Linked DNA regions of Drosophila melanogaster. The protein of the gene in region 2 interacts with the protein of the main gene of each other region in a biochemical or structural test. Each region holds a gene or a part of one and is shown on either strand. Other genes may lie near its edges.

Region 1 (5,933 bases), on a different chromosome or scaffold from region 2:
GGATGCTCCGATTACCAAAGCAGGCGGCGATCTGCTGGTAGAATTGGATGCGAGATCCGCGGAACAGGAGGGCGAGAGCAACAACAAGGTGAATAGCAAGTGGCAGTGGTTCTTAAAACTGCAACCTCAAGTCTTCAAAACACATCGACTTCAACACACCATATAACCATTCTTGCATCTGGCGCTCCATTTGGTGGGCATGGAGCTATGTCCTGGGCGTGCTTCTTCTGCTTTCTCCACTCTGTGTGTGTTTCCCATTCAAATGGCATCAGATATTCTGCTGCTGGTAGCGCGCTTGTTGCCGTAGTTGTTAATACGTAGTTCGTTAGTGTTTGGTACATTGATTGATGTTGATTGAATTGCTCGGGGATTGCATGATATTTTTTGGTGATATAAAGCGAATGAAGTACGTAATACTAAACCGAGGATAGCGACTGCATTGTATTAACCGCAAGATACCAAGTCCATAAACACAACCTAAAACGCATTCATCCTAATCCTCCACACATGCACACCAAAATACAAATTTAGAAAACAGAAAATTATTCAAAACCCAACCCATTTATACCCCGCTCTGTCCTAACTCAATATCTGTTTGGCTGTCGTAACTCTTGGCTCTCACTAAAACCAAAGACCATAAATACACAACTGTACCTTAATGTTAAAAACACTACACACATACACACACACTCGCACACACAGTTCGTAAATCGCTTATTATTAAATACATTATTTTGTATACTATTTCGTTTTGTTTTTGCGCCTTTGTCATTGTCGCGAACTTTCTTTCCCCTTAATTGTTGTTGTTGTGCTTTCAGTTTTTAATAATTTTTTTTTTATGCAACACACAAAGCAAAAGCCTTGACCAGATAAACAACTAATAATTTCCATTGCGTTTGTTCACAGGTGGATCTCGCCAAGGATCTGAAGGAGAAGAATGCCGCCGCGGCAGACGTTACAACACAGGAACAACTGCCCGTTACATGCGAATAATCCTACTCATAATTATTATATATAATATTACATATTATTAAAAACAAAACAACAAACGATACAAGCAACAACAAAAGAACGCAACGTAAAACAACAAACAATTACAAGATAAACGAGATAAAAACAAAACAAAACAAAAAACAAGCAAAAATACATTTTTAAACATTTACATATTTTAAATAATTTTTGTACGAACTTCATATCCCTAATCCAAGATATACGCAAGCAAAAGTCCGAGTTACACGCGACACCACCATCCACGCCACCAATGCAACCACTGCAACCAATCACCACGCCCCACTCAAACACCACCCACGCGCAGGAATCAATAGTTTTTTTTATTGATGCCTCTCAATTCCAGATCGGGTTAAGTCCCCAAAAACACATCCATCACCCATCAAGCACACACCATCCACCACACAAGCGCATACATACCATTCTCATATTGATGATCTTGATAGCGAAAGAATCAACAAATCATATACGATGAAATGATGAAAGTGAGGAGAATTTTTTGAATAATTTCTACTATACATTTAACTGTAAGTTCGAAGAAATTTGTAAAGAATTTTTGGACGAAATATTGGATAAAATATATATTATAAAATATAAAACCCAAAAGCGTGCTTCACTCATATCCGCCGGCTGAAAAAAAAAAACGAGAGAGATAGAAACGAGATACGAGATACGATGAACCGCAGAAAGGAAACAATGTTTTGAATGTTTTAATTCTGTTTCGAGTCGAGTCCCAATCCTCTTCTTTAATACACTACCAAAATAGTTTTTCTTTACAATATACACAATGTAACAGAGTGTTACGAAAATAATCACTTGTCCTGGTAACTGGAGTAAGCGCTAAGATTACATTATATTTCGTAATGGTTAATTTAACGTAACAAAATGTTACTACAAACAAACTACAAAAGCTCCAACGAAAGCTTCAAAAGCGAAACAAACGAAACTAAGAAATGATAAAGAAAAGCAAATACTAACTTGTGCGTCTTTTGCAACTAAATAGAAAATCCTACTAAGTACACTAAATGTATTCAATAAATTAAAGCGTTAATTTTACGCTGCGCAACGTAAAGAAATATGGTCAACAAGAATTTGCCATCCAACAAAGAGGAGGCTTATATAGGTGAAACCAAATTGTTTCCAAATCAAATTCTAAATCTCAGCATCTGACAAAAAAGCGCTGCTTATGCAGGTGTAGTTGCTGCTGCTTCCGGCGATAATCCGGCACATTGCGGAGCATGAAAACGGCTGCGAAGAGAACGTAGAGCGACGACAGCATGAGGAGTACGGGAAAGGAGAAGACGATGTGCGCCATTCGGACCTTCCGCTGCGCTGTTGGAGGCGAATAGATGTAGTCACCTGCAATGATCAATGAGTTCATTTAGTTACCATGTACTGGGTACAGACTAATAGATATCGTTAGTTCCATCCGTTCCATACAACACAGGAAGAGACTTCTGTGAATGGATGGCTATGCTAGAGTAGAGTACCTACCATTCCAGCTCTTGTAGGCGCACCGCTCTCCATCGTAGTCGTTAACGCAGAGGCAGGAATGGAAGACTGTGTTGTTCACCATCGGATGCTGGAAGCAGTGGCCGCCGTTCAGGCAAAAGCTAGTATTGTAAGCTTCGCTGCAGGGCAGCATCTGAATCTCTGTCTCCTTGTCGTTCGGGCTGGGAGTCGTGGAGTCAGGCGTGCTGGACGAACTGGGGTCAGGTGGCGGTTCTCCGGTGTGGGTAACAGTTTCGGGTGTTGTCACTGTCTCGGAATCAGTGATTGGTGTGCTGCTTTCGCTGGCCAACCAGGTGTCGGTACTGGATCCGAGAATTATCCCATCCTGTTCCGGATCCGCAGCAATGGAGTCGTCTGCGTTTGGCAGTTGGCCGCCCGAGTCCGGATTGGGATCCGTATCGGGATGCAGCTGGTCTGCCTCCTCCTGGGCCGAGGCCTCCAGTTGCTTGCGCTGCAGCTCCAGGCGATTGAGCAACTCAACCGCGGTCTCCTGGATCTGCTGCTGCAGCTCGTGCGCATGCTCGTGCATGTGGCTGTGCTGATGCTGCACAATTTTCAGCGTATGCTCTCGGAGAAGTAAGATTCGGCTCGAACAACAATCTGCAGAATACAGAAGAAGGTGTGCGATTAAGAAAACAGGACATTTCCAGTGATCGCAAAGATACAGAATAGATAACGTTGTAAAGCTCAAGTTGAAGTACAAAAAGCTTTCAGTTTTTAGTGCGGCAACTTTTGAAATTATCATAAAAATGTCTCCCTATGGTATTATTATTACTAATTTTTTTAATTTTTAAGAATGCAAAGTTTGTTCATAAGGACAGTATTTAAATGAAACTCAAAAAAATCTTTAGAAATAATTCACAAATATGTATATTATCTGAAGTTTACTTCATTCATCATCCACGAACAGAAAGCTAATACAGGATTTTACACAGTTTTCAAGGAAGTTTTAGTTTTTTAGCATAACAAGTATATAATCAGCACTGCAAATATTTTATGATTTGTTGTAGCTGTTTTCCAGTTTTTTCGACGCTAGAAATAGCTTTTTTTGTGGGAGAGCCTGGCAATACTGGCCGTAATATTGGAATCTAAAAATCAGGTGGAGATTATGTACGTACCTGTGACGGCGACAATTGTTGAGAGCACGAAAATTACTTTGAAAATCCGAGTAAATGGGATTTGCATCATTGGAAAACGCTTGGGGTGGCGCTCCGAAAAATATTGATTGGGTGGACCGATTGTCCACCACTAGGAAAACTGAGTCAATGAAGGGGTCTAAACGATCGAGGGATCGAGCGGCGTGCTGGCCGCAAATGCAATTTGGCGTCGCAACAGAAGCTGAAACATACTACACACTTGCATCTCCTTGTGGATTTTACTGCAAAATAAAAATAGAACATTTTAGCGCCTCCACATTTTCTGTCGCACGAACGCACACACACGAAACAAAAAAAAAAGGAAAAGAAATAGCATTCAAAATTGGTGATCCAAAAGCTTTTCATAGATTATCTTAGACGTACTGGAGCTGCTATATGGCCTGTAGAAGGCTTCGACATTATAATTATTATAATGACTCGTGAATCATTTTATATATCAGGCAAGTAATTAATTAGTTAATCTAAAGAGCAGCAAGCGCGGGAAGCGGGCTCTTCTCTGCTCCACTTTGATTTTAGGTCTTGTTGCGCGCACGTCGGAAAAGAGACTGAGGAAAACAGAGCCAGAGAAACAGATGGACCTCATCCCTACATTGGCGGCATTGGCATGCGCCATGAATGAAATCGATCGGTGAGCGGGGAGAGCGAAGAGAGCGCCCCCAAAAGAGATGCGATTGCGACCGATAATAGTCGAAGAATCATATGGATATGCTAAGAGCTGCAAAAAAAAACCGCCCTTTAACAGTTATTCAATTTGTTAACGGCACTTTTCACTGCATACTTCTAGGGCACTATAAAGATATATTACTCTGTGAAGATAGCTGATAAGACTTAAAAATGTTTACATGTTTCGTACAAATATGCAATTGTAGCGATTATTATTTATATTGATAAAACAATTTAAAAGTCTTCAGCCAGATATTCAAAATTTAAAAATTAATGACCACTCATCTCATGATTTCGTCCAAAATATGATAATCGTTGATAATTAAAAACGCAGTATTCATTTCTTCGGACATTAATTTAGTTAATTTATTGCTTAGATTTATGCTTACCAACGAGTACAAGGCTCTAATTAGATATCAACTAATATCCCAGTAGAATTTGAACTATGACGCGGACTTGATAAAAAATAAATTCAAAACAATGGCAACTGCACATTAGATTTGTGGTTCTATCGGAGCAACTCCCAAGTGACTGTTTCCGAGGAAATCCAATTCGGAACACAGACTGATGACACGGCCTATGTCCTGAGGTTGGAGACACAACGGAGCATTGGCCGCCGCCGGTGGCAACTGTTCCAAAGTCTCCTGTTGCAGTTTCGCCGCCAAGGAGCGGCGCACCAATTTCTCAATAAAAGTGCGCAGCACTTGTCCGAGCATCGAGAGAGCCAGTGGCTGGGAGACGCCAGGCGGAGATTCCTCCGGTTCCAGTGTGATATTAATGTCCTTGCACATTTCCTGGACCAGCTGCAAGGTCGAATCCAAGTGCTTCGGCGGAGGTAGATAAAGTAGTTGGCGATGATTCACCATTTGGAAAGATACATCTGCTGAGTTTGTTAACCTGGACGCAAGCGGATGAGGTTTGTCCACACCCAACACATCGATGAACTCCTTATCCCGCATCTGTTGATCATGACCAAGCAGACGATCGGATTGCTTGGTTATCCAAGCTTCCAGCCGATTGCCTGAGCTGAGACTGCTATAGGCCGACAGTTGCGGTTGGGGCTCGCCCTTTAGTTGCGCCTGAACACGCCGAGCCAGTTGCTCCTCATCGCTCAGTTTTTGTTTTCTCTTTTCATGCACGACAGGTAAAACATCTTTGAGAGCTGGCGTATAACCATGAACCCTGGCGAACGCCACTATCTCCCGTAAACTCCAGTAGTGTTCCTTTCCACTAATGTCCAACTTATGCAGCTCGTGGTGCTGCATCAGACAGCGACGGAGCATACGTGCGCGCAGGTACTCAAAGCAACGTTGTTTTAGAGCAGTGTGATTGTGGAACTCTTCGAGGGTTATACAAGTGAATGGATACTCCTTTTGCTGATCAATCGACGCAAGCGGGAGGCGGCTCAGCAGGAACTCCACAGCACTGCGCATATTTCGGAATTGTGCACTTCTAAAGATGTGCTCCAGCCTTCGGGGTCGCGATTGTATGGTAGTGTCCACAATTGGAGGTAACAGCATTGGCTTTTCCTCCATCTCGCCGCTCATGTTGGCGTACCCATGATCGTGCTGCATGCACTGCAGCATATGCCAT
Region 2 (7,138 bases):
AAATGCAACAATCATCAGCCTGCATTATGCATGGCGCATTGCCAGGTTGGACATCGCATCGCGGCATTCCTGGATTCCTGGCGATTCCACCGCCAGGTCCTGGTTAATATGCCCTCCCGTGTCCGGCAGATCATTGCAATTTATAATTAAGTGGAAATATGTTGTCTACGATGGCAACAAGGATCTCAGATTGCTGGCAAAGATATGAATGGCTCGCCAAGGCGAGAGAGAGAGAGAGAGAGAGAGACATAGAGGGAAACGGAGCCCTCAATTGGAATAACAAATGCATTAGCAGGCCAAACAAGGACCTAATAATGTCCTCGCCGGGGGAATGTGGAATGGAAATCCATTGTGCAAAGAATGGCCCGGGTCTCATCCGCAATTACCGTTAGGCACACACCCAAACCAAAGACACTAGAATAACAAGATGCGTAACGCCATACGATTTTTTGGCACACAATTTTTTGGCCGTGGCTCTAGAGGTGGCTCCAGGCTCTCTCGAATTTTTGTTAGAGAGCGAGAGAGCGAAGAGCGCTACAGCGAACCGCTCTTTTCTACGCATACAGTGATAGCAGACAACTTTATGTGTGCACACGTATGCTCATGCATTGTAAATTTGACAAAATATGCCCTTCACCGTAGAAGTTCTTAGACTTTAAATCTATATTATTTTTTATCAATTGGCACCATGCGAAAAATTCTTGTTTTGCATTGCCTTAACGTTATTATTATTTGAAAATAGATTAGAAAAAGCCAAATCTATGTACATATTATCACAAAAATCAATTTCAAACATGACTTTATATAAGAATATTTGTCATTAGAGTATTCATCTTGCGGCGTGTGAAAAATTAATAAGGCAATGATTGTTGAGTGCTTGTGTCCGCATTTCGTGCCTCAAGATATGAACAAAGCAAAGACACTAGAATAATTCTAGTGTCTTTGATATTACTTTTGCAATAAACAGTTATCATATTTAATTATTTAGTATATTTATTAAATCATTTGACCTAATATGATGTAACATTAACATTAAAAGTGTTTCAAAAAAATTATTTCGCTTTTAAAAAATTGTCAGATGAGAGACAAATTAGAATTAAACATAAATATAAATGTGTAAACGGTAGATAATTCGAGCGGCGATTTTAACAAACAAATTTAAACAGCTTTAAAATTATAATAAGAAGAGCGCGAATTTTTAAAAATTATTTTATTTCATCATATTGCTACGAAATTGGCAAAAAACTACCCTAATATGTACAATGTAAATTCATTTCTTTGATCAGAATTGATTTCGGCCCGAAAATCGTCTTCTAGCACAACACGCACACATATACGCGTTCTCGTCTCTTGTTTTTAACTCACACAAGCAAGCAAATTCTATTTTTAGATTTCTTATGTTCTCAGCGTGAGCGAGCGGAAAGAGAGCAATTTTGGCCGTCACCAAAAAAGTGGCTGCATAGTGCCAAACCAATGTATGGCCGTTACGCATCTTGTTATTCTAGTGTCTTTGCCCAAACTCACTCACACACTTACACACACACACACAGGGGCAAATGAGGACACGTCGGCCTGGCTAATTCATGACTTTAAGGACACTTTGGCAAACAATCGAACGGCCAAGGCGAAGGAATATTCACTGTGCAATTGATTATGCATGAGTGTTTTGTCGTGTGCGGTTTGTGTGCGTGCCAATCAACTGGGTAGAATCAATCAAAATGCAATAGGATTGCCCTGCCAATCAAAGGAAAAGCCGAGAAAAGCGCTTCATTCGCTCGCAGAAGTCACCTCTGCCGCCCACTCCCCTCCAGTTGCACAGCTCAAGTCCAAGGTAGTATTTTCGGACCACATCAGGACAAATAGCCAGTGCCCAGGTAACCAGGACAAACACTCAAATGCCTGGCCAAGCGTGGCGAAGGAAGCAAACGAGACGTGGGCTTACATACAGAAAAACTATGGTCTAACTTTTTCTACAATCGATGTCCTTGGTATATCCTTCAAATAACTTAATGCGCAGTGTATTTCATTCAAATACATTGCTGCTTCCGGAACAAGGTGTCCATAGGTACTAGCATAAAAGTAAGTAACCCCCTTTTATTCGCAGTGTAAGCGTAAGCGGCGCATTTATTTGCCAAGCGCACTTTTTGCATTTGCCAAACAAGAGTGCGGCTCCTGCCAGGACGAGGCCTTGTCCTCCGTCTGTTTGAACACGAGCCTACACTTTGGACCTCGTCCTGGGTGAGTACTTTGCACCTGTGTTTGCACTTAAATCGAGTTTGCCGTTGATGAGCAGCCCGGGACAAATATACGCATGGCATGGGTGCTTTGGGTACTTTGGTTACTTTGGTTACTTGGCCAGTGACCACCGGCGATTGTAATTGCGGCACACGGCACACTCACCACATTCACAAAGTCCTGGAACGTCACGTAGCCGGGTCCTGTGGGCAGCTTCGCCTTCTTTGCCCGCTCCAGCAGCAGCTCCCGCTTGTTCATAGGCACTTGGGACAGGAACTCCGGCGACTTGAGGGCCTCCAGGAATTCCTCGACTGATATTTCGCCAAAACCCTCGGGATCGAACTGCAAAGCGTGAAAAGTAATTATAAATAAGTATAATTATAAGTATTCCTTTTTGGGTTGGCTTACTCACCATGTCAAAGAGCAGTTTCCATTTCTGTAAGTAAAGTGAAGAAAGAAGGAATTATAATAAGTAATGTTCAGGATTTTCGTATTGGAACTCACATCTCTTAGTAGCTCCCGTCGCAGCTCGGCCTCATCGAAGTCCGAGTTCAGGGACGTGTGTTCCGTATCATAGCCGGCATCATTGGTGCATTGCTGCGGGTAATTAGAGTTAGAGATACGATCTTTACAAGCAACTCCGGCTCCTTACATAGCGCATTTGGGTGTGCGAGAGGGATCCAATGGAGGCAAGGGAGCCGGCAATGGTGGATATGTGCTCGATGTCGGCCAGAGTCTCCTGCTGACTACTACCGCCGGCATTTTGCTGGCTGGTTGGGATTTCCAGGGCCCGCGAGCTTCCTCGCTCGGAGCCGGGCCACATCCTGCTGTTCCTGGCTATCCAGATTTGGTTTTGGGATCAGGGCGGATCGTTGTGTTGTGGTTTGGCAGTGTTTGTAGCGATTAGAGTTCAGCTGCGGAAAAGTAATTATCAAGTATTATGCTCCGAACTTGTCTGTCCTTTTATTCCCCAATATTGTAGAAATTTAAATAATAATTTGAAACAAAAAAAGTAAATAGCTGTTATATATTTTTAAAATGTTTGTTTTCGAAATTCGCCAAGTGGATCCACTGTGCAGAGCTTTTCAATCTCTTTAACTCAAAAGCTCTTTTGGAGGCAGTTCAGTTTGAACGACATAAATTCCACCACCGATTTGGTCGAGTGCGCTGAGATGTCGATTCACGCGTGCTCACGTTTTTCGAGTGGCGGTTCGAGTGCCGCCGAGGTTGTGTCGAGATGAATAAAAAAAATAATTCATTCATTTCGTTTTCTTAAGAAAAGAAATTAAGATTTTCTGTTTGTTGGGGTTGGGGGGGCCTGTGAAATCAGTTTGTTGCAATTTGACGTTACTAGAATTGTTGCACTTTCCGCGGGCCCAGAGAGATACTTCCGGATAATCATAGGCTGCTGGTTTTCAATACCATAGTCTATTTCATGGCCGGCAAACAAATTTCCTTTTTGCTTTTGCCCTTTGTTTTGATTGCCAAGTCAACGGTTTGTTGTCGTTTTCCCTTATTTTCCGCTGATAAGAAGGTTATTGATCCTGCTGGAAATATAAGGCACACTGCGCAGAATCCGGCTGGCAAACAATTGTTTTGCATTTTGTTTACGCCTCGTCAATTGCCGGAACAATTTTGTTTTCATTTTGTTGAATTAAACTAGGCAATTGGCATTGATTGAATGGTTTTGTTAGCGAATGAATGGAATGCGCATTCTTCTCCTTCCATTGAAGGAGAATTGGCTTGATTGCTACCCCCCGTGTGTTTTGCTTTCTATTTGGTTCACAGGACTTTCTTGCTTGCGCTTCTCTGCTTGGCCTTTGGCTTTCTTTATTTCATTTATTTCACTTTTATTTACCGTTTTGCTTGCACCCGCGAACGCAAAACTATTGCACATTTACATCCAGGCAAAAACAAACACGCGAACTTTCCGCCGGCAAAATGACAACTGACCAAGGAGAGCTGCCAAAATTGAGAAGAGAGAGTGTCTCTCTGGGGGATGCAGGGGATTCGGATTCCCACGGCACATGCGCTCAGCTTGGAAAGCATTTCCAACCCGTTGGCATTTCCTTCCTCCCCTGCGCCCACCCACCCGCTCTGCGAGGGGGCGCATGACGCAATTCCAGAGCTGGCCACTCACACCCCCTAATGTTTACATACCCTGCACTTCGATAATAACAGCGGCTACGCACCCCACACCCCGCGACTTGCACCGTGGAATGCCAATGTTAAAATCATCACTAGTTTTCATACTAGTTAGTGATTCACTGCTGAAAACTTGATGAATGAAACTGCACGGGAGATGCAGCTTTATTGAAACTTACTCATATCACATACATATGATGAAGACAAAGCTCTGGTTGGCACACTCCACTCCACACTGTGCTACAAAGTTGCGATTGTGAAATGATGTTTTATGAATGAAGTCGAATTAATGAATGTATTTTGTAGAGCAAACTTTTAATTTGGAAAACTTTCTAGCCCTAAACTCAAAAAATCCGTTTTAAATATGATAAAAACAGATTTCTTAAATGTGTGATGCATTCATTCTTTAATGATGTCTAAAAAAAAATAATGATTTCAAATAGATAAGTTAAATGGAAGTTCCTGAGCTTTATTTGAGTAAGAGCTGTACCAAAATATTTTTAAAAATTACTTTAATCGATCAAAAGCAGAAATAATAAACTTAAGAAAAGTTCCACTGTAAGAATCGTGTGATTTTGGATGGTAAGGAAAGTGTAAGACCAAAGACCCTAGAATAACAAGATGCGTAACGCCATACGATTTTTTGGCACACGATTTTTTGGCCGTGGAACAAAGCAAAGACACTAGAATAATTCTATTGTCTTTGATATTACTTTTGCAATTTAATTTAATTGCATATTTAATTATTTAGTATATTTATTAAATCATTTGACTTAATATGATGTAACATTAACATTAAAAGTGTTTCAAAAAAATATTTCGCTTTTAAAAAATTGTCAGATGAGAGACAAATTAGAATTAAACATAAATATAAATGTGTAAACGGTAGCTAATTCAAGCGGCGATTTTAACAAACAAATTTAAAAAAGCTTTAAAATTATAATAGTCAGGGCGCGAATTTTTAAAAATTTTTTTATTTTATCATATTGCTAGGAAATTGGCAAAAACTACCCTAATATGTACCATGTAAATTCGTTTCTTCGATCAGAATTGATTTTGGCCCGAAAATCGTCTTCTAGCACAACACGCACACTTATACGCGTTCTCGTCTCTTGTTTTTACTCACACAAGCAAGCAAATTATATTTTTAGATTTCTTACGCTCTCAGCGGGAGTGAGCGGAAAGAGAGTAATTTTGGCCGTCACCAAAAAAGTGGCTGCATAGTGCCAAACCAATGTATGGCCGTTACGCATCTTGTTATTCTAGGGTCTTTGGTAAGACACAGGCGTGATGTCGCTTACGAATCAAATTATATATATGTATATACGTAATGTAAGGTAACTAATGGTAACGTACACTGTTATAAATATTAATGCCAAGCGCAGAACTTTCAAAACTGTTACTTGCAATATATTTACAGTTGCTTAAGCCTAGCCTAGTGGTCTAGATTATATAGCTAGATTATTTTGAACGATCCGATCCTGAACTTGCAGCTACTTGGGTTCGTGATGCGAAAGCACAGCAAATGTGGGGGGGTTAAGTGAGCATCGTATGATGACCACAATTCAAAGAACAGATTCCATACACTCGTCTATGTGGCTAGAGAAAGAACTATCGATCCACGGGGAATTCAATTCTTAAGGATTTATTTAATCTCCAGCAGCCTTGCTTGCTACTCCAATGTCTTCCTCTTTCCGGTTTTAACAATATTTACACTTCTGAAGGCCTAAAAAGATCGCTGGCTTACAACATGTGATACATCATATACATATATAATCTAGTAATTATGTAATTATCGAATATTTCTGCATCATTAGATTTAGTTGCTTAACTCTCGCATAGTTTAAACTTGCATCTATGTATCTGCTGCTCTCGCTGTAAACATAAAAGTCAAGGAAGAATCTCTTGAACCACATAACACATGCACTTGCTTTAAAACGGGAAACAGAGGAAGCAGAAAAAAAACATTACAACAAACTCGACTCCTAAAGCTACGTGTTATCCTAAATATCCGCTTAGCCGTCGACGACCATGCGTTCCGATCCGGAGTCGCACTGCTCTATGACCAGGCGAGCGATGCGCTTGATCTCGCAGTAGGGACTCTCGTGCTCGATTAGCTCGTTGAGGATCTGGATGCCGTTCTCCTGCTCCACCAGCTTGCAATATTTTTCGGGATAAACCTGTGACGGAATGCAGAAGTTAGTACACAATGCACCAACAATGGGAAAAGGAATTGCTCCCCCACCTGTGTCAGATTGGCCAGGGCCCAAACAGCCCAATGTTGGCACTGGGGCGTCTCGTAGCAGCGCACCAGGCTGAGGATCGGCTCAAAGCTGCGGTAGTTGATGTTCCGCTCGCTCTTGATGTTCCACCGCTGAATGGCGGCCACCATGCGCTCCAGCACGTGCTCCCGGCTGGGCGTCTTGATCGTCCAGGCATCCGCTCCGTCCGAGGCAATGTGCGCCAGCACTCCAGCCGCATTGTAGCTGACCTGGAAGCGCAGGTAGGCATGGTTAGCACTGGCCATCTCTCTCTCCCGCACTCTCGCCACCACACTCGCACTAGCACCACCCACCTCGATGCCATCGCTCAGGGAGTCCAGCAGACGGGCAAACACCTCAATGAACTCCTGGGTCATCAGCTTGGGCCGCAGCCACTTCACCTCGGCCACATTGCCCAGCAGGCCCATCATGTTGCGCAACAGCTCGTCACGATCCGGGAAGGTCTGTTTTGGAAAAGGACAGTTCAGCTTAAGAAG

Evidence for each region. The genes of interacting proteins can lie anywhere in the genome.
Region 1: of the proteins of stet (region 2) and grk, one has a biochemical effect on the other in vitro, tested with the Drosophila melanogaster proteins (one study listed by BioGRID).

Annotation. Positions count from the first base shown.
Region 1 is NT_033779.5:8,429,375-8,435,307, forward strand, and holds grk (gurken), read right to left. Parts: upstream 4,225-5,933; 5' UTR 4,041-4,224; intron 3,899-4,040; 5' UTR 3,709-3,898; coding exon 3,639-3,708; intron 3,121-3,638; coding exon 2,503-3,120; intron 2,368-2,502; coding exon 2,168-2,367; 3' UTR 1,712-2,167; downstream 1-1,711. Other genes in the region: Akap200 (A kinase anchor protein 200), read left to right, coding at 1-88, 907-993; D12, read right to left, coding at 4,835-5,933. UniProt on the Drosophila melanogaster protein: Critical for defining the anterior-posterior and dorsal-ventral axes of the egg. May signal directly to dorsal follicle cells through the receptor torpedo (top).
Region 2 is NT_037436.4:1,485,359-1,492,496, forward strand, and holds the start of stet (stem cell tumor), read right to left. Parts: upstream 4,190-7,138; 5' UTR 4,094-4,189; intron 3,688-4,093; exon of another isoform or gene 3,548-3,687; intron 3,474-3,547; exon of another isoform or gene 3,381-3,473; intron 3,150-3,380; 5' UTR 3,059-3,149; coding exon 2,888-3,058; intron 2,833-2,887; coding exon 2,740-2,832; intron 2,672-2,739; coding exon 2,648-2,671; intron 2,578-2,647; coding exon 2,401-2,577; intron 1-2,400. Other genes in the region: CG12084 (uncharacterized protein), read right to left, coding at 6,396-6,560, 6,626-7,105.